Linked DNA regions of Caenorhabditis elegans. The protein of the gene in region 1 interacts with the protein of each later gene in a pairwise test. Each region holds a gene or a part of one and is shown in the gene's direction. Other genes may lie near its edges.

Region 1 (8,242 bases):
GCCAACAAGAAAACTTCTTGTGAATTAAAAAAAAATTGTGAAATTAGGTGCCTCAAGTGAGTGTTACTGCTTTCTGAGTCACAGATATAATACATACCATACCTAGTTTGCACATCAATTCTGTTGGATTCAGAACCCAGCTAGAGGACATACACCGATTCTCAATGATTCCGTATTTAATTTTAAATTTGCGCGTTAAGTGTGGTGTGTCACACATTTGGTGCTTGCAACCTAAATACACTTGTCCATTTTTAAAAGTTAAATAGCAACTATCAGGTTTACAATACTATCTTTCACCGTCTGCGTCTCCATCTCCATGTTCTTCATATCAGTTCAAAAAATGATGTGCTCTTTGTAATGCTCCGACTCTTTTTCTTTTCTCCCTGTCCCGAATGATAAGTCAATTAATCGATACCCCCCCCCCCCCCTGATCATCACCTCATTTCCGTTTTTTGTTGTCCGTTTGTTAAGTTTCCGCTCATTCAGATTTTTGCAGTAGGTATGATATCATTTAAGTGTAGTTTAAACGTAAAACTGATTGGGATCAAAGCAAACATGCTCTCTCGCTAATAAGTTTGCAACATAGTGATCATCGTATATAGCGCATTTGTATTGCCGTTCTGCTGATCATGGTCTGAAGCAGCCAACATTGTGCGGCACCGCCTCCCTAATATGAAATTTTAGTGACACACGAAGTGCCCGCTGCTGCTTCAACACTTAAAGATATGTTCTATTGATGTGACATACGTGACCGTTGGCAGATAAGCAATAAACCAGGAAAATGTCTGAAAATTAGCTATTTCCCTTTCTTTCAACTTGTGCCACTCTCTCTCTCTCTCTCTCTCTCTCTCTCTCTCTCTCTCTCTCTCTCTCTATTTTTCTCCGATTCCATCCTCTCCTCCTCTTCCCATTCACCTGTTATGATCATTTATCGTCACTGGCGCCGAAGAGACGCAGAGTGATGGGTATGTGGAGGTAGAGAACACATATGGGCACATCCCCCTTACACAAATTAGGTGTGACGGCTTCGAATTAAATTGATCGATGAGCAGTCCGCACCGATGGGACAGTTCCCGGCATATTGAACAAAACAGTGTCTCAGGCTGGTTAAGACACAATTTTATGCTACACGGTGTTGTCACGTAGATTGCGGTTGGTAGAGTTTGCAGGGACGCAGAGAGGCTAGAGACTTTGGCTGTCTGCACTCTCTCCTCGCCTTCTCACCATGTGGCCGCGAGATATATTGATGGCCGAGTTTTCTCCATTCATAATGAAACAAGTCCCCCGGATGGCCAGAAATGGTTTTTATAACTTTGTTTGTGGGTGACCTAGTTCTCTCAATTGTTTCAGATAATTTAAACTATTTTGCAGAATGGACTGTTCACATTTCTCTATCATTTTATTTTTTGCTCGCTGAGCATTTCTGATCTTTTGATGATGTACTTTTTTACTTCCTTCGTCATTCCCACCCTGAACGATAAACTAATTTCCCTTTCGATTAATGCTTTTTCTTTTCCAAAATTGCACTTTTATCATTTTCAAAGAAGAAAAAGAGATGGCATGACAATTGTCAGATGATTCTGAGGTTCGACTTTATTAAAATTAGCAATGTTTTTTTTTTATGTTATGGAGAATTTTTTAAATAGTTCTCCACTGACTCACTGTTGAATAATTTTTACTTGTAGAATTGTTTCTGTGGGAGAAGCATTCAAAAATTAATCACATCTATTTTCAGAATTCCACTCCTTATTTTAGTTGTTTGTTGTTACATGTACTTATGTACTTAGTAATTGACACATTGCACAATTATTTAAATGCGTGGTAAAGTGCACAAAACAAAGAGTATAAGAATATAGTTTGGTTTTCATAGTTGGAATGCTGGACTGATTGCTGGAATGTTGGAATGTTTGTTGTGGTAGGTCGGTGTGTCTGCTGTAGTTAGGGAGTTTTCCCTAAATCCAAGTTTTCAAACACACTTCATCCTTTCCTTGAAAGCACAATTTAAAAAGAAATAAATCATATAATTGGAACATTTATTTTTAAATTGAGATCCCATTGCTGTTTGATTTGTCCCTTCTTTCTGATCTTCATCCTTAATCGTCTTCTTCCGTTGTCACCTCGAATCACAACTTCATTTATTCTTCATTATCTGATTATCACCAACCGTTCTAAGTAAGCACCTCCCATTTTCTCCATTCAGCTCTCCCGTATTCTCTGCTTCCCGTGACTCCGCCTCTTTTTTCAACTTTTTTGTGGGTTTGCTATCATTTTCTATCTCTCAATCTTTGTCACTTTGTTCTCGAAAAACGTCTGAATTGGTCGAATAATGTTTCATCCAGGTATGACATCTCAGCCGTCTACTTCTAACCAAATGTATTATGATCCTTTGTATGGAGCAGAGCAAATTGTACAGGTGAGCACTATATTGTAGGAGACAGTTCAAGAGAGAGCGCGAGAGAATGAGAGAATATGAACATTTTTGGGGAACACTTATCTATTATAGTAGTCTAGTAATTGCTTCTGATTCTTAAAATACAAATAAAACTGTCTTCGTGCTTTGCATTTAGAAACTGAAGTACAAAATTCAGACAATATTAATTTTAACTATTTCAGTGCAATCCAATGGATTACCACCAGGCAAATATTTTATGCGGAATGCAGTATTTCAACAACTCGCATAATCGATATCCGGTTGGTTCAGTGATATTTGAAAACTAATTCTCTCAAAAATAAAATGGACCTCATTTTACTATTTTTCTGCATATGTAACGAAAAAATCAATAAACTTATATCCCAGTGACCAAATCGATAAGCTTTTCAAAATTTATTAAATCAAAAAATTTCAGTTATTACCTCAAATGCCACCACAGTTCACAAATGATCATCCATATGATTTTCCGAACGTGCCGACAATAAGTACTCTTGACGAAGCGTCTTCTTTTAATGGATTTTTGATACCTTCTCAACCATCTTCATATAACAATAATAACATTTCTTGTGTATTTACGCCTACACCATGTACATCATCACAAGCTTCATCCCAACCTCCACCTACACCTACAGTCAATCCAACACCGATTCCACCGAATGCTGGAGCAGTTCTCACAACTGCAATGGATTCATGTCAGCAGATTTCACATGTTTTACAATGTTATCAGCAGGTAGAAGGGGTCTTTGAAAAATAGAAAAATTTTAAGTAAAAATATAATGTTTTAAAATACTTGTTTTCCTATTAAAATACATTTCAAGTTGTATGGATTTTAAGTTTTCAAAAAAAATTGCTGAGAAAGTTGCATATTCATATCTGCTTGGGATTTATGAAAATTTTCGAACCAAAAATTTAGATTAAACTGAAACTTCTCTACATTTGAAAATAACGTACTAGACTTGAAATTTTTATTTGATTTCCTCTGATGAAATCATTGAATAAAACTCTGAAAATTTCAGAGCTCCAGAATTTTTTCTTTCTTGTAAACTTTAACATAAAACTTTAGGAAAGAAAAAACTCTGGAATTTTTACAAAATAGTTCTGAAACTACTTTTCCACTTTTATTTTTCAGAACAATTTTGAAAAAGGTATTCCAAAACTTGTCAAGCAAAACAAAAGAAGTTTTAATAATTAAAAAAAACTCCAAACTACAAAACAAACATTGTGGGTACGGCAGGCGCCAAGATAGCTGTGGAATTTGAAAACTGGAGCATTGAAAGAGAATTAAACAATTTACACGTGTTTCAGGGTGGAGAGGACAGTGATTTTGTACGGAAAGCCATCGAATCTCTTGTCAAAAAATTGAAAGACAAACGAATTGAATTGGATGCATTGATTACAGCAGTTACTTCAAATGGAAAACAACCAACTGGATGTGTTACTATTCAGGTTTGAAATAATACAACCTTTTGCTTCTGTACAGTAACCTAAAATTTTTTATTTTATGCTTGGAATTTTCGAAAATTTCAAAATTCCAGATATAAATTTCAGCAGTTTATGGGTATTTCAAAGAGAAAAACATGTTGCTTGCCAACTTTCTAAAATAACCAACAAAATTTTCAAATTTTTTTTCGTGAATTTGAAGTAAAATAATAATGTCAAAGTTTTTTCCGGTTTGAACATTTTAAATGGATTTTTGTTAGTACTTCCGATTCTTCAATTTTAAATACAGTTATCATCTTTAAAAGTTTAGAGATCCTTGGATGGACGCCTTCAAGTTGCTGGACGGAAAGGTGTTCCACATGTAGTTTACGCAAGAATATGGAGATGGCCAAAAGTTAGCAAAAATGAACTTGTGGTACATGAAAATGTTTGAACTCGGAAATAAACTGAACTATTCCAGAAATTAGTTCAATGTCAAACTTCATCAGATCATCCTGATAATATTTGCATTAATCCTTATCACTACGAAAGAGTTGTCTCAAATCGGATAACAAGTGCAGATCAATCACTTCACGTGGAGAATTCACCTATGAAGAGCGAATATTTAGGAGATGCAGGAGTTATTGATAGCTGCAGTGATTGGCCGAACACACCTCCTGATAACAATTTTAATGGTAAGAGTTGAACTCCAAAACTGTAAGTAGAGGTGGCTGCTCTCTCTCTCTGACTTTTATGCCTGCCTACGTACCTTCTAATACTTATTTGTTTGATATGGATGTTTAGTGAAGATAAAGGGTAGATAGAGGCATTTCTCATCTGCCCAAGATGAGCATGAATATATTTAATACAAAATCAACACTGAGAATTTTAGAGACCGATTTTAAATGTGACCCAATTTTTTTCAGGAGGATTTGCACCAGATCAACCTCAGCTAGTCACACCGATTATTTCTGATATTCCGATAGATCTCAATCAAATATATGTTCCAACACCTCCACAATTACTTGATAATTGGTGTTCAATCATTTATTATGAACTGGATACACCCATTGGTGAAACCTTTAAGGTATGTTTTTCTATGAAATCTGATGACTATTCATTCATGGTGCAAATCGCCTAGAAATTTTTGTGAAAGAGCGTGATTCTATCAAAAATGTGCAATGGCGTTATTAAATAATTTTAATTTTCTAAATTTTAGGTCAGCGCCCGCGATCATGGAAAAGTAATAGTAGATGGTGGAATGGATCCACATGGAGAAAATGAAGGAAGGTTATGTCTTGGAGCACTTTCAAATGTTCATCGAACAGAAGCTAGTGAAAAAGCAAGGTAATTTTAATTCAGGATCATGAAGAAAAATATAACACTGTTTTGCAGAATCCATATTGGTCGTGGTGTTGAATTAACCGCTCACGCCGATGGCAACATCTCTATCACTTCAAATTGTAAAATTTTCGTCCGATCCGGGTACCTAGACTACACTCATGGATCCGAGTACAGTAGTAAAGCACATCGATTCACTCCGAATGAATCTTCATTTACAGTATGTTCCCATTCAGGGAGTTTTACAAATGATAGAATGTTACAGGTATTCGACATCAGATGGGCCTACATGCAGATGCTCCGACGTTCTCGATCAAGCAATGAAGCAGTACGAGCACAGGCGGCAGCTGTTGCTGGATATGCACCGGTTAGTAGTAATTTGCAAGCAAAAAAACGACTCGACGCACCATATGGTGCATCATATGATCAGTGTACTGATTTTCTGCACGGACCCAATGCCATAGTTCACTTAAAAATTATTAGTGAAACTGACTAAATTTGCGACCAGGGTGATGTATTATTTCTGAGAATCAAAGATTCAATTTACCCTGATGATGCTTCGGGCATCAGCTAGCTAATTGTACACTTTTAATTCACAGACTCAAAGCATCATATATCACGAACACGAACAAGCAAAGCCTGATACCCAAGTTTAAAAAATATTTAAAAATTCAGATGTCCGTGATGCCAGCGATAATGCCTGACAGTGGAGTTGACAGGATGCGTCGTGACTTCTGTACAATTGCGATTTCATTTGTAAAAGCTTGGGGTGATGTCTACCAGAGGAAAACTATTAAGGTATGTCGACTACTCTATAAGAACTAGTCACCAATGACTTTTTTCCAGGAAACCCCATGTTGGATTGAAGTAACTTTGCACCGTCCTCTACAAATACTGGACCAGCTTCTCAAAAATAGTTCTCAATTTGGAAGTTCCTAACACTTATTTTTTATTTTTCTTCAATAATGATATCTACCTGTATTTACGTACCCCAGCAGTTTCTCATATTCATGTGCGTTGTAAAATCTCCTTTTTTGAATTTTTTCACTTTGGAAATAAAGTTTTTAGCATAGTAAATACAACCACACTATGTAAAAATAGGTTGCAGGAAAAATCAAAGAAATTTTAAAAAAATGAGCGGTTGAGTTTTCTCTTTTGGTGGCCGCGTTGACGAAATGGAAGAATCAAACCATATGCACCATTGTCATCATATTTACTTACCCAGAGCCATTATGGTTGATTGAAAATTCATGGTTGAATTCTCACATATGGAATATCATTCCCACGAATTCCCACTAATTTCTTCAATGAAGTTCAAAATAAGAGTGCTCGACGGTCTCTCCCCTCTGTGCCAGTGACAAAAAAAGTGCCCCATTCCGGGAGAATTATGTCCCTTGAGAACCATTTTGCCAGGGGCCGTGAGTGTGTCGCCCCCTTTCTACTCTATCCTAGTGGCCCTTTGTCTGTGCGACACAAAATATTCCAAAAGTAACACTATCATTTTTATTGTCTTCTCCTACACTCATCCCCATTTCACTGAGCCATTCCTCTGAATGTTGCAGTTTTATGTGCAATTTTTTTCAGAAATCACAGAGTTTTTCTTTTTGCAAGACCTTCTTTTGTTTTTTTTTTTTGAGAAACTAAGAGTAAATTTTGGAGATCGAAAGTTCCTCACTTAGCTTGTCAAGTACTTTTTCTGCATACTTTTTTCTTGGAAAAATATGTTTATGTACTTGAATTTTGAACTAAAATGAGTTGATTTGTAGGCGCCACTTCTTCATTTGGCCAAGTTTCTATACTTGCCCAAAACTACATTAACCCAAAATTAATCAATCGGTGAAACCGATTTTCAAAAAAAAACTTTAAAAAAAAATTAAAATGTCAACTAATTTTTATTCTTTCGATGAATCTCACATCAAAGTAAAGTTTACAAAGATGGTCCAAATGTACCATAACATGCACAAGTTTTTCAACGGCTGACAGTTTACGGGTGTTTTATTCAAAATCTCAATCAAAAAATTAGATTTTCAATTCAATTTATCTTATTTCCAAAATCTACTAGCTTTTATTTATTTTTCCAAATTGACATCATTTACCCTTTTTCTCAAGGTTATGCTTGATTGAATTCTGAACCTCCATGCTTTTTATTATCTTCCACTTCATTTCTCTTCTTGAATCACTTTTTGCACAAAAAAATACTTAGTTTTTTTTATTATTTAGATCAAAAATTATTTTTTCGCCTAGAAAATATGGCATGACCTAGGAGCACTTTCGTGATATTATCAGACATTTTGCATACATGTTGCTATTTCATTCGGTCTAAAAATTTAAATTCTGATTTAATTCAATTTATATTTATGGTAGAAATTTCGTAATTTGATTCGAGGCCGCCGAAAAATATATGAAGAATAATTTTCCACCTTCTCTTCCATCTCAAAAAAACAAAGAATTCAGTTATAGTAGTCGGGTCGGTTGAGAACAAAAGGGGACCCCTAGTATTTTCATGTTCTACAATAAATCATATTGACCCTTTTCATGGCATCATTTGGAGATTAGAGGAGCCTTTTCTCTTTTTTGACTTTTCTTGCTCAATGAGCTCTTGAAGTAAACATTTATAAGAATCCATACTGAAATTGTTATTCCACACATACATACACCTTATATGGCTCATTTGACATTCCAAAAAACAGGATATTTTGCCTCTAGAAAAAAAGGGTCTTGGGATGTAAAACGTTCTGTGTCATTTTCAACTCAACTGCTCGTTTTCCACGTATTATTTATGGAATGAAAACGAGAAGAAAGCCTCTGGGAAATGCAAAAGGATATGACATGAAAATAGGTGGATTCGAGGGAAGAAGAACGTTTTTTACTTCGTAATTTTAAAAATATTTTTGAAAAACTTAAGATTCGTGGTCGGAAAATCTCTTGAATTTGATCACCCTTTTTTGCGCCGCGGCCGCAAACAGCGAAAGAAAACTCGGTCACCGTTAAAATCAAATCAGTGCATTTTTTTAAAGTGATCTAAATTTTGTCCCGTAGCCACGAAGAGAA
Region 2 (5,903 bases), on another chromosome or scaffold:
TGTGGAAATTCGCGAAAAAAAATTCACTGCAAGATTATTACAAAAGTTGAAGTTTCCATCCTATAAACTCACTCGGTGTTCCCATTGACACCAGCAGCAATATTTGCGGACGAGTCAATTGTCAGCTGTTGGAGAGGATTTTGGAAATCCTGTTGCTGCTGCATCATCATTGTCATTGGATGATCAGCCACGTCACTATCGAGAGAACTCATATCGGAACTTGCAGATGGAGAAGCTTTAAGCATTTGATCACCCATAACATCGTTCATTTGAGAAGTTTGAATTACAACAGGCATTTGAGGCATAGGTTGAGTTGGAATTTGTGATAGCATTGATGGAAGAGCAGATGGAATAATATTTGGTACTTCTGGAAGTCCTTGCTGATTTTGCATTGCATTTCGAACAAATTCCATTAGTTTCTCATTGGTCAACTCCATTGGTTGTTTCGTTGGGGATACAACGTTCTGCTGAAATTATTCAAGTTTTTAATGGAATTTCTAGACTTACAATGAAACCTACCGACATGAGAAGCTGATTAAATGCCGAAAAAGCGTTTGTCTCCTCCATTGAAGTTATCTTTCCTGACTAAAAACAACCATGTTCACATTTGTGTAAAGTTGAAAGAGAAATAAGGAAAGAAGAAAGTTTAGCATTGAAAAGTGAAAAGGGTTCAGTTCTGTGATAAAAAGACAGAGATTGCCAGGTTGTGTGAGGTTCAATAACTCAAATGTGAAAATGAGAAAAAAAAGAGAAAAGGAAAAATTGGAAATCTTGCACGGTGATTAACTTTTCTTATCTGTCGAGGTATTTTTAGAAGGTTCTTTAATAGTATGATGTTTAAAATAAAATTGTTCTATTGGAACACCGTATTTTTCTGATTGGCAAAACATTTGTTCCTAAAAGATGTTGCATCGTTTATTCACGCTGAAGTCTTTTAAATTTTCAGATACAAGACATGTATCTGCTTTTTAAAAAAATAAAGTAGGATTCATGAAAATGAATGATGTATGAGACCTAGAAGCAAAATTAACTTATTCCTTGCTCCTAGTACTCTGGATAATGATGCTAATTCGAAAAGAGAACAACGGAAGAAGAACTTGTAGCCGATATAGAACTTGCACTCTCTTTAGAAAAAACATGGAATAATGCTACACGGTGCTTGGGAATAAAAAGGGTACACACCAAACGACGAAAAAAGAAAAAATGAAGACTGACAGAGAGACAGAGAGATACTATTTGTTCTGTCTTCATGTCGATTGGCGGTTGAATGGTGCACAGAAAAAAGTGAGTTGGCCTACACAGGGTGGAAGACGCGCGCGCGGGACGATGGTGAGCCATTGCATCGATGAGAAATAGTACATATGAGAGTGAGAGTGACCCGCTTTAAAAAGTGTCTGCTGGGAAGATGAAAGCAGATGGTGACTTGGATAAGTCCATTATCGTGAAATGGGAACGAGCAAAATGTACACAAGGTCAAGTGAGAAATCTTCTGGATTATAAATGTGTTGGTGGAAGTACTTCTGATCGATAAATGACCACAGTAACACTATTAATAGAGAGTAGATGACTAAAGAGCAATTTCAAGATATGGAGAGACCTTGGTTGAAATAAAGCAAAACATTTTAATTCAACAATACTTTGGATTTGACCTTTTTTATGGGTTGTCCCAGGTAGATATGGAACTAGTAGATCAAGTTTCAATTTATAACATGTAAATAATTTCTATATTGAATATTTATTTGAACTAGACACCTTATACTCTGGATCTCATTATACTGTAGATGTCGTTGGATTGGATTGACAGTTGAAAAACATTTTGATACAGTAAGAGCAATTGAGAATATTTTAATCAACTCTCACTGATATTTAGAACCAATTCTTATATGATGTCTCAGGCTTTCTAAGATAATTACACTGCCAAAATGTTGGAATATCTTAATATGGTTTCCACACAAAAATTTCCGTTTTGTTTTTGTTTTTAATTTATAAAAATCAAATGATGACTCGACAATGAAAAGTTGAATTATTTTAGAAAGATTGAATAGCATATTTTACAGTTTATATGTAAAATATAAGCTTTTACCATCTCCATGTTTTCTGTCCTGTATTAACCGATTAATACTTCCACAACTCTTTTCCCCTTACAAGGCAATTATTGTTTCATGTTTCTTCTTTATTGCGTCACAAAGAACGCGGTTTACTCCCTTCATAATGAATGTATACCAGTATATGCAAATGTATTTGCTCACCAACTGAATGTGTCATGTGTAACTGTTTTAGATTAAAAAATGTCTCAACCGAGAGAATATGTCATCGCTGTAATAAGATTTTAAAACTTTCTACAATAAGTGTTTTTTATTTAATAGTGCGACACTGGAATATCGTTAGTTGAGTTGTAGTCTAAATACTCTTATGATAGCCTAAGGTTACCGAATATCATAAATTTCTTTTTTTTTTGGTTTTTCAAAATTTCCAGTCAAAGTTTTGGTAAATTGGGAAAAATCTAAAAATGTGTGTTGTTTGAGTAATTTCGAGTATTCCTGCAAGTTCAAACCTTTAGAATGTTTGAATATGAACAATTGAAGTTCAAGTATAAACCTCGTAGAAACTAATTTTTCTGGTCGAATTCGAAAATTGAATTTTCTCCACTTTTTGACGGTAAATCTAAAAAACTACTTGGGCGCTAACGTTTATGCGTTTTTAATGTTCCGGAAGTCCTCCGTAGGTTCGATTATTGATGAATTCGAAGTTTATAAACTGTTAACCTGTTTAAAAAAAGTATTTTCAAAATTTCAATTTATATACACTACGCACCACGCAAGGAATTGACTTAAACTTGGCATATAGTTCCTACTAAGTTTCTGTAAAATTGAATATCTTGTGAAGTTCTCTGTTTATCCCCATAATTCTAAAACAATATCTTCTTCTGCAAGTAATAAAAAACGAACTGATATGGATCAGTTCAATGACCGTGTCAATTCCAGTCTTCTGCCAAATGACCAGTGTCGTCATAAACAAGAATCTAAATGACGAAAAACATGAATTGGATGATAATAACAATAATTATTATTAATATACGCATAACGGTCTGATCATGTCGATGTCGCTGAACCGGTCCCTTATCTTGCCATATATGCCGCCCGCAGATTCCGAATCATTTGCATATTCACAAAGACAACAGAAGAGTCTCTGTGTCAGCCGTCATGTTCAGGCCTATACTAATTCTTACAATCCTTTCATGTGTATTGGCTTATCACCGTAAGTGATTTTGTTTGCTTAACCTTAGAAAACAATATTAATTCCAGAGTACCGTGAGCTTAAATGCTCCACTCCAACAAACTCTATCCGTGGAGGACCAGATCGTGCTGAATGTCATTTGGTTTTGAAGGCTGAAGAGTTGGAAACTGGAAGACCTGTTCCAACTGGACTTGGATGCTGGCAGGTACGGTTGTTGTTTGGTATTAACCCAGAAAAAGGTCTAAATATTCAATTTTAAGATTAAAAAAGCTTTCTTTTATTTTCTAATGTCTTTTGTAAAATCTTGTCACATGCATGCTATCTTCGAATCGTGAATCAACTTTTTTGAAACAATTATCATTTACTATATATAAAGCGCTTATTCTGTGTGTCCATAGTTTGTAGTCTATGTAGTCTTTGTAGTTTCTGAAGTTTTGGTTTCTGGAGGGATAGTGAGTTGGGGTTAATGTAGGGATATAGTCGGGGTATTGTAGTGGTACAATAGTGGTACGGTAGGAATACTGTAGGGTTACGGTAGTTTCAGAAAAATTAGTTTAAACCCAGAAGTCGGGGGCCGCGCCGGAGGTGCGGTCCACGGCTGGTGTATACATATATTACGGGAACAAAAAATCATGAGAATGCGTACTTGGTGCATTTTATTTGACGCGCGATATCTTTTAGCGACAACTACAGTAAGAACTCAAATAACAATAGATATTTAAGCTCTTACTATAGTTTTCGCTAAGAGATATCGCGCGTCAAATAAAATGCACCAAGTACGCATTCTCATGATTTATTGTTCCCGTAATATATGCATAAAACAGAAGTGCGGCATGGAAATATGGGCGGAGTTTCGATACACAACCGCGGTAATTCAAATGAGGGGATTAGCCACAATTGAAAATTTGTAAAAATTGGCGGTATTTTTTCGTTTTTTCGCGGTATTTTGACATCCCTACCGGTGCTACTTAACATTTAAGCAAGAAAACTAAAAAGAGAAACCACGTTAAACATTAAAAAAAATTCTAAAATATTATCTGATATTTCCAGGAAGACCATGATGGAGAGGAGCGTGAATATTGTGACATTGTCTGTCCAAAATCCCACACCGTCTTCATCTCTTACATCGATCAAGGACATCGTGCGTGCTTCAACTTTATCACTTATCAAGTTGAGAAACGAAACGACGAGCATGTTCTCTGGCGTTCTGGAAAGTGCTTGAACTCTACTGTCAATTACCGTATCGGATGCAAGTTCGACGATCCATTCGAGACCCAATTCAAGTCCGACAACGAGATCTTCGCTCATCTCAGAGCTCGTGCCCGCAGAGTCTAGATTTTTTTGACATCTTGTTTTAAGTTTAATTTATTATGTTTCTTATTTTCTCTTTCTGAAATGCAATATCTATGCAATACTATGGTAAAAATTGATCATTCATCAGTAAAAAGTTATGCAATTAAACAAGAATTATCTTTTATCCATATTGTACATGATCATCATTTCCTCCGGATATTTTCCTTCTGGCGTTTCCAAAATCATTGGAATTCCATCGAGACGGTTGTCGTTCATCAAAAGCTCAAAAGCCGCTTTTCCTATCTTGCCTTGACCAATATGCTCATGACGATCGAGCTTCGAACCGACATCGCCCTTCGAATCATTGATGTGTATTGCTTTCAGATAGTTCCAGCCAACCACTTCACCGAAATTTTTCATCACTTCTTCATAAGCCTTTTGAGTTCTAATATCATATCCTCCAGCAAAAATGTGACACGTGTCGATACAAACTCCGACTCTTGACTTAACTTTCACTTTATCAATGATGAACTTGAGTTCTTCAAAAGTTCCGCCAATCGAGTTCCCTTGTCCAGCCATTGTCTCGAGAACTGAAATGTTTTGAAATTGAAATTTTCTTTTTAAAATTATAGTGCACTAACCTAAAATAATATTCTCAGTTTTCTCAACAACAAAATCGATTGTCTCTGCAATTGTTGTCATGCATTCTTCTTTTTCACACTTTCCGACAGTTGATCCTGGATGGAAATTGTACATCGTGATTCCTAATTTCTCAGCCCGTTGACATTCGTCGAGCATAGCAAGTCTTGATTTTTCTAATTTCTCAGCTTCAGGCGATCCAGCATTCATCAGATATGAACCATGGGGTACAATCTGATCCAATGGGAAATTTGTCTCGCGAACCGCTTTCCACCAATTTTCGACAACTTCTTCACTCATTGGTTTGTGATTCCAAGTTCGCTGATTTCGAACAAACATGGCAAAACTTCGGCATCCTTCTGCTCGAGCGTTGTAGATTGCTTGTTCAAGACCTCCAGCAGCACTCACGTGGAATCCCAACATTTTACTCGATCCTTCAGATGTTTTCAGAACTTCCACGCCAACCGTTTCACGAGATTTTTTTTGAGCGATAGTCTCTCCCGATGTTTTTCTTGTTTTTTTCGGTTTGTTTTCCAGTTTAGAGGTTTCTTCTTTATCAGTTGAAATATTTTCTTCAGTTAATGTTTCTTCTACGGTAGTTCCAGGGCTTTGGTTTTCCGACTCTTCCTCTTCTAAATTTACAATTTATGAATAAGATCGTAATGAATAAATTTGTAGTTTTTAAACTATTTTTTTAATTAAAAAAGAAAGAAGGGCTATTTAATGTTATCTCT

Evidence for each region. The genes of interacting proteins can lie anywhere in the genome.
Region 2: the proteins of sma-4 (region 1) and mtre-1 interact in a two-hybrid assay, tested with the Caenorhabditis elegans proteins (one large-scale study listed by BioGRID).

What each region holds. Positions count from the first base shown.
Region 1 is NC_003281.10:5,813,936-5,822,177, forward strand, and holds sma-4 (Dwarfin sma-4), read left to right. Parts: upstream 1-2,296; 5' UTR 2,297-2,341; coding exon 2,342-2,413; intron 2,414-2,613; coding exon 2,614-2,691; intron 2,692-2,846; coding exon 2,847-3,161; intron 3,162-3,736; coding exon 3,737-3,877; intron 3,878-4,181; coding exon 4,182-4,286; intron 4,287-4,331; coding exon 4,332-4,545; intron 4,546-4,776; coding exon 4,777-4,937; intron 4,938-5,069; coding exon 5,070-5,197; intron 5,198-5,245; coding exon 5,246-5,411; intron 5,412-5,456; coding exon 5,457-5,558; intron 5,559-5,866; coding exon 5,867-5,989; intron 5,990-6,037; coding exon 6,038-6,130; 3' UTR 6,131-6,262; downstream 6,263-8,242. Other genes in the region: R12B2.7 (Ovule protein), read left to right, coding at 1,299-1,319, 1,372-1,578. UniProt on the Caenorhabditis elegans protein: Involved in TGF-beta pathway.
Region 2 is NC_003280.10:8,047,819-8,053,721, reverse strand, and holds mtre-1 (Male Tail tip Retraction Expression), read left to right. Parts: upstream 1-3,144; 5' UTR 3,145-3,203; coding exon 3,204-3,258; intron 3,259-3,305; coding exon 3,306-3,442; intron 3,443-4,287; coding exon 4,288-4,572; 3' UTR 4,573-4,698; downstream 4,699-5,903. Other genes in the region: T05H10.4 (FLYWCH-type domain-containing protein), read right to left, coding at 73-467, 520-567; apn-1 (Apurinic-apyrimidinic endonuclease), read right to left, coding at 4,705-5,120, 5,172-5,801.